Linked DNA regions of Rhinolophus ferrumequinum. The protein of the gene in region 1 purifies or fractionates together with the protein of each later gene. This does not show direct contact. Links are inferred from orthologs where the notes say so. Each region holds a gene or a part of one and is shown on either strand. Other genes may lie near its edges.

Region 1 (7,816 bases):
AGGTTGTCAGGGTCACACAGCAAGAAAAGGGCAGAACTCGGTTTCTGAATTCAGGCAGTCTGGTTCCAGACCAGTGTTCTGGATCATGCTATAAAACAGCAGTGACCAAAACAGACTGAAATGCCTGCCCTCATGGAGCTGACAGTTCAGCAGGAAGTGAACAAGATAAGGAAAATACGAAGCACGGTGGATAGTGATTTCTCTTTCTGTGTGTATTTACTCCTTTCATCCACTGTCTTCCGTCCTCTCTCCTTCAATACTTCACCTGCTCCCTGTCCCTGCTGGGGTCTGCTGGCACTGCGGGTGCTGCTCCAGCTCTGGCTGGAGCCAACTTTCTTACGAGGCAGTGGGTCCTTTCTCATCCCCTGTCTGTGAGCATCTGCAGGTCCCAAGGTCCAGAGAGAAAATGGACACTCTGAGTCAGGGACAGGTGGCAACCAACCCAGCTCTGAGTTCTAGTGGAGAAACTCTCCCCTCCCTCTTTCATAGGTCTGTCCACGTAGCAATTTTCTCTCAGGTCTCTGAATCTCCCTGGTGGTTCTGTGTGTGTCTGTCCATCGCCTTCCTTGTCACCGTACCTCTATACCCCTTCCCTCCCCCTCCCCATGTTTATCTCCTCCTGCCCTGTCTTTCCCTTTCCCACTGTCTCTCCTCCCCACATTTTTTTCCTTTCTCTCACCCTCTGTCTCTCTCTACCCCACTCCCCTCCCATCTCCCCATTTCTCTTTCTCCCTCAGCACACCTTTGTATCCATCTGCTTCCTTGCCTCAGTATCACGCTCCTCAGAAATCTCACGTTGAAATTGGATTCCCAGCTACTCCCCTCCCCTATGCACTGGTCTCCCCCATGGTTGGCTGCTTCTGCCCCCTCCCCAGATTAAGGGAAGAGATGAAGGGAAAAGGTGATGGATTTAGGGGGATCTACAGAGAATTCCTAAATTCCTCTGCAACCCCCCTCCCATTTTTCCAACTCAGTCGGACTCTCTTGTATCACAGAGGAAGACAGACTGGGACCCCAGGGCCCTCCTTTTCTGGCTACCTACCCACCCACCCGGAAGTCCTCCTTGAGGTCTGATCTCTAGAACTCCAGCTGCCCTAATCCACCCTAGGCTTTCCCACGCCCCGAGGCTGGGATGAACCCCCAGTGTCCGGGTCTGAGCCGGATTTCCCTGCCAGGGCGGGGCTGAGATTGGGGGGAAAGCCCTCAGGGGACCTGCACCCCCACCCCAGGAGGCTGAAATTTCTCGCCTTTCATTTCCTTATTGTCTCTGGAGGAGGGTGTGACGACGGATCACAGGGAGGCAATGTGAAGCCAGAAGCCTAGCTTCTAGCCCCAGTCTCTACCCAGGACCTAAAGAAGCCCCCAACACTCCAGGCGGCTTCAGGGTTTCCCTCTCTGAAGTGGGGGAGCAGTTGGACCAGCTGATCTGTGGGAACTGGGGGCCAACAGGGCCACCCCAGGGTGATACCTTTCAATTTCCTTCCACACGGGGAGCCAGCCTGGGGGTGTTAATATCACCCCAGCAGGAAGGCGTGGAAGGCCAGAAGCACTTTGGGGGACCTCACAGTTCTCAGTAGCTGAGTAAGTGTGAATGTTTCTCTGTACCTTGTTCTGACCCAAGGGAAGGAGGTGGCTCAGATGATGGAAAGGCTGGGGAGACCCTCAGACAGTATTTCCATCTCCGGCCCCCCATGTCAACTCTTCCAAAATATGCCCCAAAATGCTGATCATCTCTAGACTGTCTCTCAATTTCTGACACAATGTGTCCCCTAAACTTCAGAGTGTGCCCCACATAAGGATTCCTCCATCCTAGATCTCCACATTTACTGATAAGGTGTGTCCCCCAAAACACTGATTTGTAGTTGGTTCCCTTAAATCATATTCCCAGACTCTGAACTGTCTGGAGGTTCAGCTGGGATGCCCCAATACCTGGGAGCCTTCACCTCCAACCTGGTCTCTGCCTTCTGACACCTCCAGCTGCCGATCTCCACCTCTCAACACTTCCAATCCCCCCCTCCCTGGTCGGCCTGCCCCACCCCACGTGCAGCTCACACCTTCACAGCCCCAGGACTGGCCCCTCCCAGGCACCATGCCAAGCCCCGCAGGCCCGGGGATCCGAGAGACCCACATAACAGCATCAAACCCCAGACCCAGGACTCAGGCACCTGGGAGCCCCTGTAACCCTCAGATCTCAGCCTCCTTGTAAAACTCAGACATTCAAGTTCCCCTGCCTCAAGTCCACAGTCCCCTTCCAGGTTAGGAATTTAAGTGTCCAGATCCCCCCTCCACTTCACACTGTTGAGTATAGAGACAGTGAGCTAAGGGGGAGTCCTTGCAGCAAGAGGAATGGGAGTTAGACCAGGGGAAGGACTTTCTGCCTGCTGGGGTGAGGGAAGTAAGATATACCCTGCCCCCTACTCCAGGGTGGTCTAGTCAGAGATGGGGCTAGTGAGGACATTAGCAATTACTGGAGATTACTGGAAGGAGGGTAGGGAGGTGTGAAATCTGAAACCTTCTAGCCTCCAACAGGAGAATCCCTGCTGAGGGTCTCTAACAATTAAAGCAGTGAAGTTCAGTTGGAAGGGGTGAGGGTCAGGAGTAGGGGTGGGGGTGGGGAATGGAAATCGACCCCTCCGCTGCTCTCCCGCTTCCAACTCCGATCTCATCTGGGCCCCCATCTATCTGAACCCCAACTCTAAACCACCTGTTATTCCAGACTACCAAAACTAACCTCCATCTCTTATCCTTGAGCACTAACCCTTATTTCTGACCTCATCTTAGATCGCACCCTGATCCTTATCCCTGAACCCCAATGTCCTAACCCTGAGCTCTCACCTCAGATTTCCCTTAATGGTGACCTCCCTCTGCCATCTCTTAGTTCCTGTCTTTCCCCCCAAATTTGAAGCCATTTCCTAATCCCCCAGCTCTGTCTCCTATTCTGGGAGGTCTGATTCCTAGCTTTGGTTTGTTCATTTTAATCCCTTGGATTTGGGGTCACCAACACCCAGCTCTCACGTTTAAGCTATGACCTGATCCTTACTTAAGTTTTCCTGACTCCCATTTATCGCTCACTCCGACTAGCCTGGGGTAACCGCACTCCCATGCCTGGCCCCGTCCCTGAATCCCACACCTGGTCTCCGTGTCTCTAGTTCCTTTACTCCTCAACTCTAGTTGGAGCCCCCATTCGAGCCCATACCCCAATCCTTGCCCTCATTTAAGTCCGCACCCTGATTCCTACCCCACACTTCCCGCTCCGCCATCCCCGAGGACACACCTCGCCGGCCTCCGGGTAGTAGCTCCACTCCGCCAGGTCATGGGCCTCCATCTTCACGGAGCCCAGCATCCCCCGGGCCTGCGCCCCCACCTGCCCCTGCTCCGGCCCGGGGGGAACCGAGCGCTAAGGATCTCTCAGCCGGCACGGCCCGAGTTCCAACCGGCGCCCGCCCGTCCGACTGACTGCCCAGGGTCCCAGCCGTCCCAGGCGCCGCGGGAGGCGTCCACGCTTTATAGTCGGGACACCCCCCCCCCGCCCTCGCCCGCCCCGGGCTCCCCTCCCGCCTCTCCCTGGGCGGTGCGCTCGGACTGGGGCGCCCCCTGCGGGATTGCGAGGAGATAGACCTCAGGCGCCGGGAGCCGCAGCCCGGGGACGTAAGGGCTGGAGATGGCTGAAGAGTGAGGGAGCTACTGCTGGGAGACACTGCTGATACTAAGGTCCCCGACATCAGAACTCTGGGGCCCTCCACCCCAGGGGCCCCAGACATCATCTTGACAGTAGAGGGCGAATAGCTAGAACCCAGCACGACCGCCGCGGAAGAAAGGGGCCTCAGAGCGCAGTGAACTCCTTGGATCCAGTCTGCCTCTATAAGGACCGGTAGGAGAGCCTCGAAACCACAGTCCCATTAGGTGGACTGGAATACTGAAGCTTCCGACAGCTATTAATAGAAATGCTCCGAACTGTCCAAAAGGTCAGGACCAAAGGTGGAGGAAATTGGGGCTTCTGTTCAGACTCCACTAGGGCAACAGACCACCTCCAAGACCTAGGAGCTTCGCCGCCCGTACTCTCCATTCTCGCTAATACCAGCCGTCCAGGAACTCAACCACCGTGAACTCCGTTTCCCAGAAGTCTCTGTCTCCCTTCCTGTCCCGAGCCTCTGCCAAGGGACTATATTTCCCAGAAGGCACGGCGTTCGAACGCCAGAAATGAAGAGCCACCGGGAGTATTCCGGAAGGCCGCTCGCTGGGCTAGAAATAGGGGTGGGGTCTGCCTACTGCGTGGACTCCATTTCCCGGCGACCCCGTGTGTGCGGCGCGTGCGCAGTGTCACGGCGGCGAGCGGAAGATGGCGGCGGCGGCGGCGTCTGGGAAGAGGCGCTGCTGAGGGGGCGCGAGGGGGACGGAAGCCGGAGCCGCGGTGAGCTGGGGTGGCGTGGGGGCCCGGGGACCAAGGGAGGAAGGACCCTGAAGCGGCAGGAGCGCTGGCAGAGGGATGGGGGCAGAGGAGAAGGGAGCAGTGACGTTTGGTACTCCAGTTTCTTCCCTTGCTCAGGACTCTCCCGTGGGTCCCTAGTGCCCTTAGGGCAAAGTTCCAACGTGGCCCCCAAGGCGCGTCCGTCCCGCGGCCTTGGCTCTGCCTCTGCTCATTCCTCACTTCGAATAGTTGCATTGGTCTTTCGGTTCCTCAAACTCGCCATGCGCCTTCAGGCCTCAGGATTTTTGCACATACTGTCCCCTCTGCCCGCAACATCCTTTTACCCATTCTGCCAGGCTAACTCCCATTCATCTTTCGGGTCTCTGCACCAACGTCACTTCCTCTGCGAAGCCCTCCTTTCCTGCCCTCCATCCCGAAATCCTCCTGTTAAACGCTCTCAGAGGTCCCTGTACCTTCCCTTCATGTCATGTGCCCTCTGATTTGTTATTGTACCTTTGTTTGTTTGACTATTTGATTATGTCTGTCACTGTGAGCTCCACGGAGGCAGGGACTGGGTGTATGTTGTCACTGCTGTGCTCCCAGCACAACGCCGTCACACTGAAGACACCCAGTTAATATTTGGTGAATGAATGAAAGATACTCCTGGGGCCACTGTGTAGATGAGGGGAGTCCTCACGCTCCCAGGTGGGAGGGAGGCAGTGGTACTCCATAAGGAGGACACCGAAAGGAAGGGGAAACAATGACTGTTGGTAATAGCAAAAGATTGCAAGCACCCCACATATTTTCCCCCTTCTTCCACCCCCACCCGGTTTCAAGCCGTTGTTTCTCAGTCTAGTTGTGTAGGACACAGCTCCCTGGCCCATGCTGGTGTTATGAGTCTTGCGCTCCCCCCAGCTGAGGCAGTTGGTCTCCAGTCGTCGGTCGCCTGCTCATGGCAGCTCTCGCCAGCTGCTGGCCACTCACGATGGTCCCCGGCCACTGGCTGCTCATGGCAGCACATGGTAGCCCAGCTCCAGGGAGAGCCGGTGCTCACAGTCTTAGCTGTAAAGGGCGCAGCTCACTGGCCCATGTGGGAATCGAACCGGCGACCTCGGCGTTAGGAGCACGGGTGCTCCAACCACCTGAGCCACTGGGCCGGACCCCAAACATTCTTTAGTAGAAAGACTGGCAGAAAAAAACTGATAACATCCACATGACAAAATACTATGCAACTGTAAAAAGGAACAAGGAAAATCTCTTTACACTGATATGGAGAATGGGCTCCAGCATACATTAAGTGAAAACAGATGAAAAGGAAGATGGTGTTTAATATATGCTCTTTTTATAAAAGAAAGGGAAACATGTATATACCTTACAAAGAAAATAAAAGTAGAGGGGGCAGTCAGTTAGCTCGGTTGGTTAGAGCGCAGTGCTCTTAACAACAAGTTTGCTGGTTCGATACCCACACGTATTACCATCATGAAAAAAAGGTTCACATGAAAAGCTTCATTATGTTCTGATGGGGGACAGCAGTGTGCTGGTTGTTGGGTGGCCATGAGTTGCATGAACAGATGTGGGGTCTATTAATAGAAGACCTGGTCTTATTTTCGGGGAAACACAGTAGGTAGTGTATAGATGATAATAAATGCCATGGAGAAAAATGAAACAACACAGATGGGGAGAGAAAGGAAATTGAGATTTGAAATAGGGTGGTCAAAGAAGACCTCACTGCCAAGGTAGGTGAGCTGAGACCTGAAGGAAATGTGGAGGGAGAGAGTTGTGCCAATATCTGGGAAGAGGAGTATTCCAGGCAGAAGGAAGAGAACCCCAAAGGTTTTGAGGAAGGGGCACGCTTGGCATATTCAGGGGACAAGGAGGCCAGAGTAGCTGGAGCAGAGAGAGCAGAGAGGAGCTGTGGGCAGAGATAGAAGGGACCAAATCATGTAAGGTCTTCTAGGCATTGGTGAGGACATTGGCTTTGACGCCAAGCAAGATGTGGGGGTGACAGGCAGCAGGGATACTAGGAAAGAGGATGCTGGATAGTCATTCGTCCTGCAGACACCCTCAAATTTTTGTTAACAGTTTATGTAGTATCATTCCGATCTTTTCTCATGTCTATAAAAATGCAGCTGTACTTATCTCATGTTTACTGTGTGTCCTAACTCAAGGTAGTCCTTCCTGCGAGGCAAGCACTGTGACCACCTCTGTCTCACAGAAGACAAAACTGACTCAGGTCGCTCTGTGTAGACATACGCAAACTTAACAAAAATGGATTGAATTGCACATGTTCTGTGATGTATTATTATAGCAGGCTGTGGGGGACATATTTTTACGATGATATTGCACTGAGAGCCACTCATTTCTTTTTTTGCCGTTTCCTTCCTCTTCTGCTTTTTGGTTTATCCTTTCAGTTTCTTTTCTTCTTCCTTTTTTTAAACATATACACATTTCCCTTTCTTTTGTAAAAAGGGAGCATACAGTAAACATTGTCTTCTACTTTGTTTGTTTTCACTGAATATATGCTGGAGCCCACCGATCATAAGTGTATAGAGATTTTCCTCATTCCTCCTTTTTCCCTCCCTCATTCCTTTTCGCAGCTGCATAGTGTTTTATGGTGTAGCTCTATCATACTTTTTCAGCCAGTCTTCCTCTTTGAGAACCCTTTGGGTGCTAATAGTCTTTTGCTCCTTAGTCCTGTGATTGAGATCCTTCTTATTTCATAGTTGTGCCACTGTGACTTTGGGACAGAGCCCAAAAGTTTTCCCTCCCCACCCCACCCCTTTTTGAAAACAACTCCATAGCATTTCAGAAAATGGCTGAAACATAATTTATTCAACTGAGCCTTTTCTGATGTATTGAGTACTTACTGTGAGCAGGACTCTGTGACTGGTGTGTTTTAGAAAGCTTGCTCTGGTGTCCAGTCCAGAGTACAGCCCAGATGAAGAGTCAGGAAGGCACTGCGGCCAGTGCCTTAGCTGCTGTGTGTTCATTTGTTCCGTCATTCAGCACATGTTTGTGGTCAGCCCGCTACGTATGAAGTACTGGAGGTGAGTCTTGGTGCTCCACGAGGTACTGCCTCTGACCTGAGAGACATCGATCATCCCCAAATTACAACCCCTGTGTACACTTACAATCTGAGACAGACCCTGAAGTGGAGAGGGGCTTCAGTAAACCCAACAAGGACAGGACAGGCTGGAAAAGACGTTGGAGTCCTTTGTGGATGGTGGGATGAAACTCCCAGCCCACGCACAGGCTCCCAGAGCTTGATCTATCTTTTTCTTCCCCAGGGAGTACTAGACAGCAGCCATGGCAGGCAGCAGCGGGGACAGCGTCACTCGCCGGAGCGTGGCATCACAGTTTTTCACACAAGAGGAGGGGCTGGGCATTGATGGCATGACCACTTCAGAG
Region 2 (7,636 bases), on another chromosome or scaffold:
CCGTGCTTCCCTTGCTTCCTTGGTGACCCCATCCATAGGCCTGTCCCCTGGGTCTGAGCTGGACGAGAGGCTGGGTTCTGGGCAGTGTGGTGAGCAGGCTCAACCCCAGGGGGCCATTCACAGCAACAGCCTCTTGAGATGCTGTAGATGGCAGCTCTGGGCGACTAGCTTCCTCCAACTGCAAACCCCCTTGGCCCACGGCTGTCTTTGCCCCATCCCCACCCCTAAACCATCCCCCTTCAAATCCCGGCTTCACTCCTTTGTTTTTTTTCATCCATGCATTCAACCAGTAGTTACTGAGTCCTACTATGTGCCAGGCAAGATCTATCTGCTGAGGCTATAGCTGAGAACAAGATGGAGCTCCCTCAAGCAGCTTATCCTCTGGTGCGGAAAGACAGACATCAAATGAGATGACCAAGAAAAATACATAGTATGTGGAATGTGCTATGAACAACAATGAAGCAGTAAGTGCCAGAAGGGTATAGGAGATTCAGGGTTAGATATGCCAGCCAAGCAGGGCCTCATCCACAGGGTGACAGGTGACCAAAGATGTGAAGGAGGTGAGGGAAGAAGCCCCTTTGCTATCTGACGGTATGGCCAGAGCAAAGGCCCTGAGGCAGGAGGACGCCTGGGAGCAGAGAGGAGACGGGGGTGGCTGCAGCACAGTACATGGGGGAGGAGGCCAGCGAGGGCTGAAGAGTGGTGGTAGCAGACCTCGCTGGCTTCATAAGCCATTGTGAGGACTCTGGCTTCTCTTTGTTTATTTCTCAACTTTTCATTACGGAAAATTTCAAATATACACAAAAGTAGAGAGAAGAGCTAACTACAACAATTATTAACATTTAGACAGTCTTGTTTCATCTACACCCTGCACTTCTCCTCCAAACAGAATTTTTTAAAGCAAATTCCAGACATCATTTCATTCATAAAATCTTCAACATGTACCTCTAAGAGAATTGTAAACAAACGAATGTCATTATCAATACTTAAGAAAGTGAATACCTTCAACATCACTGACTACACTGGAAATTTTGGAGAAGAGTTAATGCTATCTGCTTTCTGCTTTAACTGGAAAGTTCTATGCTGTGAGCTGACATCAAGGCAGAAGGTGGCAAGAGCAGTGGGGAGCCCAGTAACCAGGATAACAGCTGTGAGGGCAAGGAGCAGGCTAAGCCTGGGCGGGCATTCAGGGGTGGGATTGTGAGAAGTGTTAGGACTGACAACATTTTGAAGTTGGTGAGAGAAAGAGAAGAGTTAGGAATAACCTGAAAGCATTTGGCCTGGGCAGACGGAATAATGCGGTTGCCAATTAGTAAGATGAAGAAAGTGCAGGGAAAACAAGGTTGGCAACAAAAATTTCAGGTCCATGTGGGTAAGTGGAAGGGAGATGGTGAGGAGGTAACTGGATACACAGATCGGGAGTCCCCGGGAAGTCCAGGCTGGAGATACAAATACAAGAGCTGCAGTGAAGGGGGGCACTGAAAGCCAGGGGGCTGGCGGGTCACCTGGTACAGCACCCAGGTGAGGAAAGACAGAGGAGAGAAGAGCCGTGAGCATCCCAACCTTTAGAGATTAAGAAAGCAAAGTGGCCCCTCACAAAGTACTGGGCTACCGTCAATGGAGGAGCCAGGAGCAGCAGAATCCAAAAGTTCCCTCACCTTCCCTTCCTTGATCAGGTGTTTGCACTGAAAGAAGTACCAGTAAGGGGTGTTTCTCCGGCCTTGCCATGATTTTGGATCCAGTTCGTTTTCTTCATCTTCTTTAACACTCTGTTCCCTGAGCCGTAGGTTATACAACTGGGCCGTTGATTTGCGGAACATTCTCCGAGAAGAGTATTTATCGGAAAGGGTCCCAAAACTCTCCTCCTCCTCTTCCTCCTGGTTGGCCATGGGGCTGGGCTGGCTCAGGTCAGAGCTGCGGTTGTGCGTGTTCTTCTGGCTCCCCTGGCTGAGGGGCAACTGAGAGGGCGAGCTGCTGAAGGCTGCTGATGTTGGCCCAGTCGGCCCCATGGCCCTCAGCCAAGCAGGCCCCTCCCTAGCTCCTGCCCACCTGGCTCGTAGAGGGTCAAGGCATTGCAGGACAGACAGTCCCATGGGGCGGGGGCTGGAAAAGAGCCGGGAGAGTCTCACAAGGTCCATCTCTGGCTTTTACCTCCAGGGCCTGGCACAGGTCAGAAAAATATTGAAGTTAACTCAGGTTCATAGTCCAAAAAAGGCAGAAAGACAGAGAAGTGGTCATAAGCATGAGCCCTGAGGTTAGAAAGCCTATGTTCTGACTTCAGTTCTGCCAAACAACCATCCATGAGTCCCTGGGCACTCAATGCTCTAGCCTCAGTCTCCTTGCCTGTAAATTGGGGTTAACTATAATGTCACCCACACAACACTATAGCAATGATTGAAGTCTCAGATATACAGTGTGCAGCACAGTGCTGGCACATTAGGCACTCAACAGACATAAGCTACGGATATTATCAAACTATGATCAAAGAGCACGGTGCTGAAATCACAGCTGAGTTTGAGTCCTAGCCAGAGCTGTGTGTCTATGCCTATTACTTGACATCTCTGTGTCTCAATTTCTTCAGCAGCAAGGTAAGGATAACCCCACTTGCCTCAGCACGAGATTATAAGGACTAATGATATATTTTTAACACAATACCTGACAGTTAATAGGTGTTCAAAAAATTGCAGCTATTAATCATTTAATATTAGGAAAAAAATTGTTGGCATTTTGGGCCTCTGCACAGGAAAGCTAACTCAAGCACTTCTTTTCTGCAAGTCGTAGACAAATGGGCTAGAACTGTGCTGTCCAATATGGTAGCCACTGGCCACATGTGGCTGCTGAGCACATGAATACAGCTAATCTGGAGATATGCTAAAAGTACAAAATACACATCAGATTTCAAAGGCTTTGCACACAAAAAAATCAATGTAAAACACACACACAATTATTTTACATGTTGAAATGATAACATTTTGGATACACTGGGCTAAAGAAAATTTAACATTAATTTCACAATTTTTTTTACTTTATTTAATGTGGCTACTTGAAAATTTAAAATTACATAGTGGTCACATTATATTACTACTGGACAGTACTAGGCCAGAGGTCCTGCTCTGTATACTTAAAACTCTTTCATAAAAAAATATCAGAGTAACCATTATGAAAATATTTTAAGGCCTGGTTATATCAGATCACCACTGGAAAGACCTCAGAGGTGACGGCAGACTAATAACTGAGGCCCAGGTAGGGAGTGACATGCTGGGGGCCCTGCAGCAGTGCTGTGGGCAAGGCTGGCCAGCGGTGGAAATGGGCTGGCTTTGAGCCCAGGTCAAGGACGGCCTCTCTTGACTAGCGCCCTAGAGACACTAGTGCAGAGGGCCTTCACCATTCCATGGCTGGTGAGGCCTGCGACTCCAATAGAAAGACTCCAATAGAAACAATGGTAGCATATATGTAATCTTAAAATTTCAACTAGCCACATTAAATAAAGTGTTTACATGCATTAAATGAAATACATAAGATAACAAAAAAAAATCGAGATAGGTATCAGATGTCTTAAAAACAAACTTAACGCTATACTAGGTATATAAGCTTCTTTTCAACACACTAAAACAAGATCCTATCTATCATCCTGTTAAAGTAGTAATGAGTGGAAATGATAGCTTGTAGTAGTTGCACATACTCTATCTCCAACTATCCTTTACACGCATCACCACTTGAAATCACAACTTCGTCTTGGAGTTTTGGGCACTGCTAACGCTACTCGTTAGTCGGGAAAGGAAATGCTCAATTTCACAGAGACAATAAAGGTGTAATTTTCCTACCCAAGTTCATTAATCTCCCTAGGCTAAGAACCACTGAATTAGAGATACGCTGCCGCTGTTCTCCCTTGGGGGACCAGCCCCTCCCCAGACATTCCTGGAGCCTCAGGCCAACCCAACCCCTCCACACTGATCTTTAGAACCTCGGTTTCCTCACGGGACGCCCCGGGCTCAACGCCGGCAGTGACACTCGCTGCCCCTCTGGTCTGTCCCCGCCCAGGTTCCACGCTCCGGTGAGGATCAAATAGGAACTCACTCCGAGTCCAGGGCAGTGAACACGGCCCCGATGTCCGCGCCGCGTCGCCCGACTCCGGGTCCGCGTCCCCAACCCGCCCCTCCGTGCTTCTGACTCCCCTTCCCCGCCCCCCTCTCCGAGGCGCGGAGTCCCAGCCAAACCTCGCGCAGGCGCAGTCTACGTTGCGAATTCCCTGCGCCTATAAGTTATTCGCGACCGCGAGGTGAGACGCGGGTTTGGCTGGCGGCTGGCAGGGCCTAGCGGAGCGGCCCGTACTCCGCGCTCGATTGGTCCGGTCTGAACAGGCGAGAGGCAGGCGCGGGCTCTGGGCGCTCCCGGCATTCCGCGGGCGGCGGCGGCGGTGGCGGCGGCGGCGGCGGCGGCGAGGCGAGGCGGAGGAGGACCGTGTGCGGTGGCGGGTGGCAGGTAGAGGTGTGAGAGCGGCGAGGTACTGAGGGGAGCCGGGCCGGTGGGGCCGCCGCCGCCGCCATGCAGGAAATCATCGCCAGCGTGGACCACATCAAGTTCGACTTGGAGATCGCGGTGGAGCAGCAGCTCGGGGCGCAGCCGCTCCCCTTCCCCGGCATGGACAGTGAGCGTGGGGCCGGGGCGGGCAGGCGAAGGGTGCGACCGACTCGGACCTGGGACCCGACCCCGTGGACTCATGACCCCACCCCCTCGGTCCTCGGACTTGGACTCGGGTCTTTGATCCCCTGGGACTAGTTTAAGACAAACTTCAGGAGGGCAAGACCTAGTCTGGCTGTTCAAATAATTCTTGAATGAAGGCGGGTACTCTGGGTTGAAAATCCTTCCCCCACCCCCGCACACTCCCCGCCTGCAGGAAAATACCGTATAACTCTCTTCCCCCCTCCAGCCCCCTACTGTGAGCGAGCTCCCTCTTCTTGCTCTCGTCAGAGCTGAGTCTGGAGGAGTCTGGCTGAGGGAAGGAACTCCTCTGTAGGATATCCTCAGTTAGACTCTCAAGCTCCTTTCTCCTAGGACGCACACTCCTGCGAGCCTGTCTCTTTTTCTCTGGACCCCAATTCTGAGTCGTTCATCATACCCTGGCAGCTGCCTGCGCTCCCCCCACTGTTGATAGCACTAGCTTGAGGCTGTGGAACCATCCATGCAGGACAGCTCTTTCCATCCCACCTGTCTCTAGCCTGGGACCACAGATACTGGAGTCTGTGAGGGCAGGCGCAGTGGTGAGGGGCCCACAGACCTGTTTCTAGGGAGGGTCAAGGACATAACTAGCCACGGGTGCTGCCCTGACTGGCCTCAGACTTGGTAGCTGCCCTCAGCGCACTGCCTGCCAGTGATCAAGTCCAGTGTGTTAAAGCCCAGGGAGGCCACAGGCCCTGTCCCTGAACTTCATTTCTTAGTTTGGGGAAGAATTGTCTGTTCTGCCCTGGAGGCATATTCTTTTATTCTGTCTGCCTGACACCCAGTCCCCAGGACTGGGGACTTCGGGCTTTAAGGAATGAAGGAAGCAACCCTAACTCTTTTTTGTGAGACATTTTGAAATGCAAATGAGTGACAGCCCAGGACTCCCAGTTCCACAGCCGTTAAGTCTCTCCCAGCAAAATATGCCTGCTCCCGAGAAACCAAGGAATCTCTCGCAAGTTAGCAAGAAGAGGCACGGAAGTGGCCTTCAGAGATGCTGTCTGTAGGTTTTCAGCAATTCTGAAATGCCCTGTGAGAGAGAAAACTGTTTATGACACCGGAAGGTTTACTCTGATAGCAGGGGTAGTCCTGGGCGCATTGGAACAGCCTGTCCCCTGAGCCCACTGACTTCCATTGCGCTCACTCAGCCTCTGTTCTCTTGCTCCCCTCATCTGAACTAGCTGCATCTGTGGAAGCAAAAGACTGCCCCTTTAATAATTGTGTGTTGCTGCTGCATATTAAGAGCAGTCCTACTTCTGTATCTTCAATTATGCTCTCCCCGCCCAAATAGCATCTCTCTGGAGCCTGTCCGTCCTCGGTCCACATTCGCTTGTGTTTCCTGTGAGATCATTCCCTCCTTCTGCCTCACGTTAAATTAGCCCTCTGGAATGTCCAAGCACAGTGTAATTAATTTCTGTGATCTTGTGCTCCATCCTTCCTTCCCCCACACACGCTTGACTCCTTGAAAGCATCTTTATTGTAGGAAGCTCTCAGCCCTGAATAATGATTACTCTCAACAATATGTCTCATTTTACGGGGAGTGACTGAAATAAGCAACTTTCTTCTTGCTTGGTTTGGCTTTGCATTTTTTTTGCCAGTCTGTTACCTATACCATGAACCCTTAGTGGGTTAAAGACCAGAACAGTTCCCTCCCCCATCTTCAGATGTTACCAGTAGTAATCCTACGTTGCTTTGATTGACGCCTCTCCTATTCTCTCCTTTCTACAGAGTCAGGGGCTGCTGTCTGCGAATTCTTTTTGAAAGCAGCCTGTGGCAAAGGTAAGAGACCCCTGGCTCCCTGGGGGATGTTCCTTCCACCACCCTAGCCCTTAGCAGACTTGCAGGCCATCAGGTCTCTAGCTTACATGGCTTTCTGCAGACAATGTCCCTAGATGAAATTGTGGTTTGGGTAGGCTAGGTACATGAGAACATGATGGAGTGTTTTGCCTGAAACCTAAAACACAGGATGGAAGCTGGCTCTGAATTGGCCTTCTCATCTCACTTTCCCTGTGGCCACAAGCTGACCTATGACATGAACAGAAGCGCCTAGTACTGAGATGCTCAGGCACTTTCTCACAGTCACAGAGTTAGTGAGTGATTGAGCCCAGTGTTTGAATCCAGGCCTTTCTGGTTCTACGGAGTCGACACGGGCTCACTGTCCTTTGTGTCCTCTCATCAAAAAACCCCATGATAGTGTCTCGTGGAGTCACGTTCATACTAACCAGGGCCCAACAGAGGCTGCATGAGCCAGACTACCTATCCATTAATTCATAAGAAGTCTCGCAGGGCAGGACCTTACATACCATGTAGAGGTCTGGGCATCTTTCTTCCTATAAGCAATTTTAATCACAAGCTTAAATAGGGAGCACAGAATTAGAGCAAGTTTCTTTTTTATGGCTGATTTTGGCAAGTTTGGGTTCTATAACTCAGTCATTTACAACTGAAGCAATAGACCTATCAAGTGGATCCACCCGGTTGACCTCTGGTGTCTAGTTGGAACATCATCGCCCCTGGGCTGGTTTCATGGCCACGTCCTTGCTTGGTAATTGTGCCTTTCTGACCTGCCACCATCTGTCCTTAACACCAGCAATATGCCAGTCTCTTTGTTAACTAATACAGTAGCCACTAGTTACATGTGGCTATTAAAATTTAAATTAGTTAAAATTAAATAAAAATGCAGTTCTTCAATCACACTAGTCACATTTTAAGTGTTTTATAGCCACGTGTGGCTACTGGCTGCCATACTTGACAGCATAAATATAGAATGTTGCCACCATTGCAGAAAGTTGGCAGTGGGTGGGTCTAGATCTTTTCCAGTCACAGCCTCATTCTAGTCAGGCCTTCCCAGTAGTCCTGCCAGGCCACTGTTTAGAAATATGACTTTCGCAGATATAGCTCTGTCACATCCGGATGGATG
Region 3 (8,422 bases), on another chromosome or scaffold:
CACACCAGGCACACATGGAATATTGAAGGTGCAAGAAATGGTGGTCAACAGGCACGCCTTCTATTTGAGCTCAGGAAATCATTTCCATTAAGTTTATTAATTAACTCTTGAGAATTTGATGTGATTGGATTTATTCATAACTTAATCCCCCTCCCACCTTCATTTGTTTCATCAGCTCAAACATCTGCTCTGGTGGAAGACTGGCAACTGCTTTGCTAATGGACTCAGGGGCATCCTCAGGACTGATGGTCTCTCCATAAGGTGACTCAATGACGGGGGCACCAGTGCCAAGACCTGATTAGGAAGAAAGTACGAAAAAGTTAAGGAGGCAAAATAAAGAAATAAATCATTTCAAGAATCTACTTTCCAGGGCTGTTTAAGGACACACTGATAACTTTAAATTCTCTAGAGCTCAGAAATAAATGATTTCCAACTCTCTTACTTCTGTGGAGGAAAGTGACAGAATGCATTTTCTGTTCTCAAGAGTAAAGCTGGGACCAGGATCACATAGGTGGACAATGTTAACCTAAATTAGGGATTAGGCACATTAACTTTCTTTGGCAAGCCATTTCAGAAGCAAAAGGTTTAAACAGAAAAATATGCTAATATCAAAATGGAATTCCTGGATCTATAAACCTCATTAAAAAAAAAAAAAGCCGTAAGAATGCTAATATCCCCACCACATACAGATCTGGCCACATAGTTACAGGAGTGGCAAACACCAACGACCTAGTTAGCACTAATCACTTGGTGAGCCTGAATTCATCTTCAACTGGAATCAACTCCTTGGCAACTGAAGGACTTCTAAAGTCAACTTTACCTTGTTTCTCAAAGATATACACTTCCCTAACGCAAACACCTTAGGTGGGTCAAGTAAAGAAGCTGAGTGGGTAACCATTTCAGCAGATGCTAAAACATATCATAAATGGAAAATCTTCATTATTACATCTTTACTAACTCGTGTTGCATACAACTTGGGTTTATACTCACTCTTCAGCTCTTCTTTGTTCTTTTCACTGGCAGCATTGTCTACTCGAAGTGCTCTCCCACTGAATTCACGCCCATTCAGGTTTCGCATGGCACTAAGTGCTGTCTCTTGGTCTTGGTATTCACAGAAGCCATAACCCTTTGGCTTTCCTGTCTCCCTATCATATACCAACCTGGAGAGCACAACCAAGTATAGGCACAAATGTTACATACACACAGGGTTCCTGCTAACATTGCCATATTCCAATTTGGTCAACTGTAAGACAAATAACCTTATCACTCACTGAAATATTTTTTAAACACTTCTTTTTTAATTTACCAATTACAGTTGACATGCATAAACATTTTTTTTAAAAAAATGAATCCCTCCCCCAGCTCAGTTGACAAGAAGATTTTCCAGGGCAGGACAGGTCATAACGACCAGTAACTTCTCTGTGACTAGTGAAGGGGCTTGCGCAATTTGGTGTGGTGGGAAAAGCCTTCACCCAGCAGTGTTGTCTGTAGAAGTAACAATTATAGGGGCGGTGGAGTAGGGAATGCTCACAGCTCCACTAGCATGAGGTTGTAATCCTTGTTGGAGAGAGCATATTTTTTTTGGCTTGACTATGAGCACATGCAGCAGATTCTGCAGGAAACCCAAACCAGTTACACATACCTGGCTGACCCTGAAGCTGAACACGTGCATCGGAAACACAAAAGTGCCTAGCGGAGAGTAGAAGTCTGGGCATATTTGAAAATGGCATGCACTTTGAATGCCACCTGCCCATACCCACATACATTTAAAGAAATCTATCTTTTAGTAAAAATGAATGGGAATTGCATGGTATGTGAATTATATCACAATGAAGCTGTTACAAACAAACAAACAAACAAACAAAGGAGAATGCATGTGAAAAGTCACCAGTATAAACCCTGTCATAATTACTAAGGGCCAAATTTTGTGATGATTTTTAAAGAAACTCCCACCAGGTAGTGAAAAGGAACCTCACCTGAAACTAACAACAGGTCCAACTTCAGAAAAGATGTCCTTTAATTGCTCTTCAGTAGCCTCGTATGGAATGTTCCCCACTAAGAAAATAGGTAACATTAAAATTCTGAGTTTGTAACCTACATCTTTATTAAGAAAATACAGTACCTATTTATATCAGAAAATGTGACAACTTGCTCAAAATACAGTGCTCCTCCAATCCCAGTTCCAAGATTTCAATCTCGCCGGCTAACTTTAATTGCAAGAGAAATAAACCACTGAAACTAAATACAAAAGGTGTAGACATTTCTAAACACCTTTATCAATTCTCAGACTGATCTGACAAGTGTTGGATTTTCCTTAACTTTGGTGAAAAATACTTAGGCATTGCTATTTACCTGAAGGGCTGCACGTCTTATCAGTAACTACTAAAAATAGCAACATTTTAATTCTTAAAACCGGCTCATATGTCCGGATTACTCCCCCACCCCCCACACACACTCAAAGGAGAATGATCGTGGAAGTAGTGGAAGATGTTTAATAATTATTCTTAAGTGTTTTGTCATGTCCCTTCCAAAAAGTGATTTAAAATCACCACACATACTTTAAAAACACAACTTATTTCGGCTGAAAAGATTCCTTAGAATAGATTCGATCCTCTTTAAAATTTCTTCGACGAGGTCTTAATCGTTCATTCATTCATTTATTTACAATCCACCTTAAGACGCCAGATTGCCGCTACCACTACCAACGAACTAAAATGTTACGGGCTAAAAGCAGAGGATTAAAGTCGTTAGGAGCGAGCGGGAAGTGGACACAAGGATCCCAGCACATAATCTGTATTCTGGGAGAGGGGATGAGAAGTAGTAGGGGACAGCTGCCATGCGCATTCGCTTCTAGAAAATTGAAGCTCGTGAAAGGAGAAACGCATAGAAGTTGAACGCTAGTTTAACTTCCTCAGCCACATCGTGGTAGGGCTGCAAAACCTCGGAGTAAGGGGAGCATCCCTTTGCCCACGAGTCCACCAGCTTGCCCGCCGCACAGGAGGCAGGGAGAGCTGCACGCCGGCCCCATCACCGGTTCCCGCGTCGATTCATGAGATGCAGGGGGCGTTCCTCGCCGCTCACTGCCTCTTTCTGTCCCTTCCCCATGCTTGGTTCCACCGAATTCCTCTCACCGAACACTGAACGTAGCGAACGATCCACCGCAGGGTCTCTCACAGTCAAACCCGCCATCGCTCTTCTCCCGAGGCTTCCGGTGCGCCAGGGCACTCTTCCGTAAGGCGCGTGCCTCCAGCGCCCAACAGGCTTCCGTATTGTGCGTGAACCGGAAACACCTGGCCCGGCGGACGCAGGGCCCCCTCCCCTGGCGTCATTCCGTCACAGGCCGCGCACGTTACTTCCAAGAGAACATTAACCCTTCCGGGCAGGGCTGCCGCCTGTCGTTCACGGTCGGATTCGGGTAGGCCCAGGCTAATTTGAAGCCTTTATTGTTCATGTTTTACTTAGGCTAACGCAAGTAATTGTCGACCACAATAAAGATGGAAGCAGTGGCTTTACCATAGTAACAGAGAAGTCATTTGCTAACAACCATGGCACTTTCATTTTAATTACGCCCTGTTGGGGGAGGGAAATGCTTGGCCGCGCCCCAGCGGCGTGCACATTGTCATTTTGCAAATACTGTGAGTTTACGGAGTGCGATGGGGAAAGAAAATCGCAGCAGCCTAGAGAATAAGAGAGTGAGGGGCACTCAACGTTAAGGCGTTAACATAGCTGAGCAGATGGGGAGGTAAAGGGAGAACAGACCCACGTCTACGCTGGTCTAGCCCCTGGGCTCCATGTTTCTGGTAATGGGGGCGGGGCGGGGCGGGGTGGCCGAGGACATTGGCCGGCAGGGTTTCAGAAAACATCAGAACAGGAAACATCATTGACCGGTGGTACACAACAAGCAGCTAAAGCATGATTTGAACTCAGGTTGCTTTGGCTCCAGAGACTGAACGCTTACTGCTGTATTTATTGCCTCCCAGGATAACTGAGAGAATATGGGTGGCTCAACATATTACCATTGCTGGAAAAGAACTTAGAGCATGTGACCTGAGGATGTTGGGTCAATGACTCACAATATAATAAACCACCCAAGACTAGGTTGAAGCACTTAGCCAGAGCTTGTTCTGCTGCGATTAATCATCTGTGGAGAACTTACTGTTGGTTCTATCATTTCATCAACCAACCCTACTCTACTGGTTATAAAAGAGGAGGTGTGTGCAAGGAATATTTCCTAAGTTTTGCTTTTTTATATTTGAGTTTCACTTATAGGCAATGTGCTAGTGACCCCATCCTCAGTGTCTTTTGTCCATGAGAGTCTTGGGAAACTTCACTGTGACACTCCCAAAGTGACACATTTCCTTTGCCTTCCAGTTATAGCAAAATAAAGACGGAAGATGGGACGTCTGACACTGTTGTAGGTATTATGGCTTGGCCTCATTTAACACAATGATACAGGTACAGTATGAAGAGGTAGGAGGAAAACTAGGAAAGGTACATTACTACACAAAACGGACTAAATATATAGGATAGGTGTTATTTGGGGGCCTTAAGCAGAAGAGAAAGGCTTTGTATGTAGCGGAGAATCAAAGAATTTGGGAAATCACAGGCAAGATTTGTGGGTCATTGGCAGGAAGTTTTGTGGAAAAGTTCTGAGTTCTTATCCAATCTTGTTGATGACACTAAGAATCTTAGATAATGTACAATTGAAGCAAGCAAAGACGTTCAGAATTGTGAGGGCCCAGAGACTTGGGTTCTTTCTTCTGACCATAGAAGGTCAAACTTCCAAGGCTGGTTAAGTACTACTTCATGTTTGACCCACATTTAAAGCTCCTCAAAGAGTCATGGAATGAAATCCCTCATTGTTCCTCCAGGGAATATCTGGGAAGGCAGCAACTCCTGGACAGACATCATGGCATGAAAAAGATTCCAGATGGCACTGTACCCATGTTAGGAGAAATCCTCAGTAAGTAATGCCTGAAGAGCTCAGGAAACTAGGAGCCCTCAGAGAGCACCTGAATGCTGAAACAGATCCTAGTCTGTATCTGGACGTAGGTACCAATTGGTTTGCTTTCCAGAAAGAAACATCATTCCTAAGTTTTGCACTACTGCATTATCACACTGGTTCTGCAGCAATATCTGTACTTTCTGGGAATATTTAAGGGTTCAGCTCTGAGGCTACTCGACAGAGAATTGTCCAGTCCATCAAAGCTGGTCATTCTGGTCTTTTGATTTTAGCATTTTCATTTTTTATTTCTTATCTAACTGCTTTTGCTCTCAGTTCATGCTCAGTGAATACATTTTCTGTATTCCTTTCCCAGAAGGTTCAGAATTCTTCACCTGCTCAAAGGCTGCCTTATAAGATACATTGCTTGGCAGCAGGCCAAGGAGCTGGGTGATCTCTTGAATTGGGGGAAGATTTCCCCTGTTCTTGGCAATGGCGTGGTGACCTCTTCTTGCTGAATGAGGACTGCTTCCAAGCCAAACACTAGGGAAAACAGAATAAGAGGAGGAAGTCTGAGTTCTTTCCTTAGAATCCACCAACCTTGTCTAAAACTTAAGTCTTTTGGGGGACTTGTTCTGTTTCAGAACCAGAACTCTAGGAGACTATTGGCTTGGCACTTGGAATCCAGAATTTAGTAAAACAAAAGTGGATGTCACTGGACAGCATTTAAACTCCAACAGTGTGCTGCTGGGTGAGCATGACTGGATAGAGCATGTGGATAATGGTATCAGATTGGGGTTAACAGGGTAATAATGATTAAAACAGCTAATATTTGTGAAGGGCCATGTAGAATACAAAGCTTTTCCACATAGATCTCACTTGATTCTCATAATACCTGGGAAATAATTTTAGTATGCAATTTTTTTATTGTGGTAAAATAAAACTTACCATTTTAACCCATTTTAAGTGTACAATTCAGTGGCATTAAATATATTCACATTGTGCAACCGTCATTACTGTCCATCTCCAGAACTTTTTATTTTCTTAGACTCGAACTCTATACCCATTAAGCATTAATTCCCCATTCTCCACTACCCCCGTCCTCTGGCAACCATCACTCTACTTTCTGTCTCTATGAATTTGACTACTGTAGGTACCTCATATAAGTGGAATCATAACACTATTTTTCCTTTTGTGTCTGGCTTATTTCACTTAGCATAATGTTTTCAAGGTTCATCCATGTTGTGACGTGTCAGAATTTCCTTCCTTTTTAAGGCTGAATAATATCCCATTGTATGTATATACTACATTTTGTTTATCCATTCACCCATTGATGGACACTTGGGTTGATAAAGAGATACATAGGGTGAGGTCTGGGAGGGCCCCGACTGCTGGAACTTCTTTCCCCATGGAGTTGGGGACCCTTCTGGTACATGGATGTGTTCACCCACTTGGAAATTCTTTGAACTCCCTCCATTTGTGACAGTTATGGAGGCATCATCACATAGCCATGATCAATTATTAACTCCATTTCCAGCTCCGTTCCCTCTCTGGAGGATGGGGGGGTTGGGCTGAAAATTCTAAGCTGCTAATCATGGCTTGGTCATCCCATCCAGGAATCCACCCAGAGTTGCCTCATTAGAACAAAAGGTGCTTCTAATGCTCTTATCACTTAGGAAGGTACAAGAGTTTTAGGAGCTCTGTGCTAGGAACTGGGGGGCAGAGACCAATATATTTATATTTCTGTTATCTCATACTTTTTTTTTTCTAACTGGGGAATATTGGGGAACAGTGTTTTTCTAGGACCTATCAGCTTCATGTCAAAGTCATCGTTTTTCAATCTAGTTGTGGAGGGCGCAGCTCACTGGCCCATGTGGGACTCGAACTGGAGACCTTGGTGTTATGAGCACTGCACTCTAACCACCAAGCCAACCGGCCGCCCACCGTGGGCTCAGCTCCAAGCTCAAGCCATTGTTTTCAGTCTTGTTGTGGAGGGCGCAGTTCACTGGCCCATGTGGGAATCGAACCAGCAACCTTGTTAAGAGCTCGAGCTCTAACCAACTGAGCTGTCCGGCCGCCCCGTTATCTCATACTTAATGATCAGTGAGGTTGAACATATTTTAATGTGTTTATGGCCCATTTATAAATCTTTTTTTTTTCTTGGAGAAATGTCTGTTTAAGTCCTTTTCCCTTTTTTTAAATTGGATTGTTTGTTTTATTTGTTGTTAAGTTGTACGAGTTTTTTAATAGATTCTGGATACTAATCTTTTATCAGATATATGATTTCTAAATATTTTAAATATTTGTAAATATTTTTTCCTATTCTGAGGGTTGCTTTTTTACTCATTTGATAATGTTTTTTGATGCATAAAAGTTTTTAATTTGTTTTTCATTTTGATGGAGTTTATTTTTTATTTTTTTATTAGTTTCAGGTGTACAAAACAAAGTAATAGTTAGACATTTATAATTTATATCCCTCCCACAGTGATAACCCCCCTCTCCCCATCTACTACCCCTCTGACATCGCAAACAGCCATTACATTTCCACTGTCTCTATTCTTAATGCTGTACTCCACTTCTTGTAACTATATATGTATATAAAATTGCAGTTGACATTCATTATTGTTCAGCTTCAGCTTCAAGTGTACAGTGCAATGATCAGGCATCTACACCATCCCTGAAGTGGTCTCCCTAATGAGACAAGTGTCCATCGGGTACCCTACAAAATATTTACAACATTATTGAGTACGTTCCCCAAATTCACTTTCGTATCCCCGTGGCAATCTTGTGGTTACCCATTGTGCTTTCTAATCCCCTCACCTTCCCCGTTATACCCACCTCTCCCACCCATCTAGCAACCCTCAGTTTTTCTCTGTCTCTGAGACTGTTTCTGATTAGTTCATTCATTTATGCTTTTCTTTAGATTCCACATGTAAGTGAGATCATATGGTATTTGTCTTTCTCTGTCTGACTTATTTCACTTAGCATAATGTTCCCTAGGTCCATCCATATTGTTGCAAATGGTAAGACTTCACTCTTTTTATGGCTGCATAATACTCCATTGTATAAATGTACCACAGTTTCTTAATCCAGTCATCTACCTATGGGCATTTCGGTTGTTTCCATGTCTTGGCTATTGTGTATAGTGCTGCAATAAACACAGGGGTGCATAAATTTTTTCGAATTATGGATAGATACCTAGGAGTGGAATTGCTGGGTCATAGGGTATTTCCATTTTCAGTTGTTTGAGATACCTCCATACTGTTTTCTACAGTGGCTGCACCAATCTGCAACCCCACCAACAGTGCACAAAGGTTCCCTTTTCTCCACATCCTCCCCAGCACTTGTTGTTTGTTGATTTATTGATGATAGCCATTTTGACTGGGGTGAGGTGGTATCTCATTGTGGTTTTTATTTGTATTTCTCTGATGATTAGTGAGGTTGAGCATTTTTTCATATGTCTGTTTGCCATCTGTATGT

The links. Proteins that work in one complex are often made in the same cells at the same time.
Region 2: the proteins of SYMPK (region 1) and CPSF4 purify together in Homo sapiens (affinity purification with mass spectrometry; 4 studies listed by BioGRID and IntAct, counting the BioPlex papers as one, with this or other methods). This does not show direct contact. The link is inferred for Rhinolophus ferrumequinum from reciprocal best matches to the Homo sapiens genes SYMPK and CPSF4.
Region 3: the proteins of SYMPK (region 1) and CSTF2 purify together in Homo sapiens (affinity purification with mass spectrometry; 4 studies listed by BioGRID and IntAct, with this or other methods). This does not show direct contact. The link is inferred for Rhinolophus ferrumequinum from reciprocal best matches to the Homo sapiens genes SYMPK and CSTF2.

Annotation. Positions count from the first base shown.
Region 1 is NC_046298.1:42,117,639-42,125,454, reverse strand, and holds the start of SYMPK (symplekin), read left to right. Parts: upstream 1-4,297; 5' UTR 4,298-4,411; intron 4,412-7,695; 5' UTR 7,696-7,714; coding exon 7,715-7,816. Other genes in the region: FOXA3 (hepatocyte nuclear factor 3-gamma), read right to left, coding at 3,275-3,343. UniProt on the Homo sapiens protein: Scaffold protein that functions as a component of a multimolecular complex involved in histone mRNA 3'-end processing. Specific component of the tight junction (TJ) plaque, but might not be an exclusively junctional component. May have a house-keeping rule.
Region 2 is NC_046290.1:89,660,198-89,667,833, forward strand, and holds the start of CPSF4 (cleavage and polyadenylation specificity factor subunit 4), read left to right. Parts: upstream 1-4,393; 5' UTR 4,394-4,545; coding exon 4,546-4,648; intron 4,649-6,447; coding exon 6,448-6,498; intron 6,499-7,636. Other genes in the region: PTCD1 (pentatricopeptide repeat-containing protein 1, mitochondrial), read right to left, coding at 1,659-2,138. UniProt on the Homo sapiens protein: Component of the cleavage and polyadenylation specificity factor (CPSF) complex that play a key role in pre-mRNA 3'-end formation, recognizing the AAUAAA signal sequence and interacting with poly(A) polymerase and other factors to bring about cleavage and poly(A) addition.
Region 3 is NC_046284.1:53,627,287-53,635,708, forward strand, and holds the start of CSTF2 (cleavage stimulation factor subunit 2), read right to left. Parts: upstream 3,244-8,422; 5' UTR 3,190-3,243; coding exon 3,132-3,189; intron 2,056-3,131; coding exon 1,977-2,055; intron 1,161-1,976; coding exon 991-1,160; intron 295-990; coding exon 158-294; intron 1-157. UniProt on the Homo sapiens protein: One of the multiple factors required for polyadenylation and 3'-end cleavage of mammalian pre-mRNAs. This subunit is directly involved in the binding to pre-mRNAs.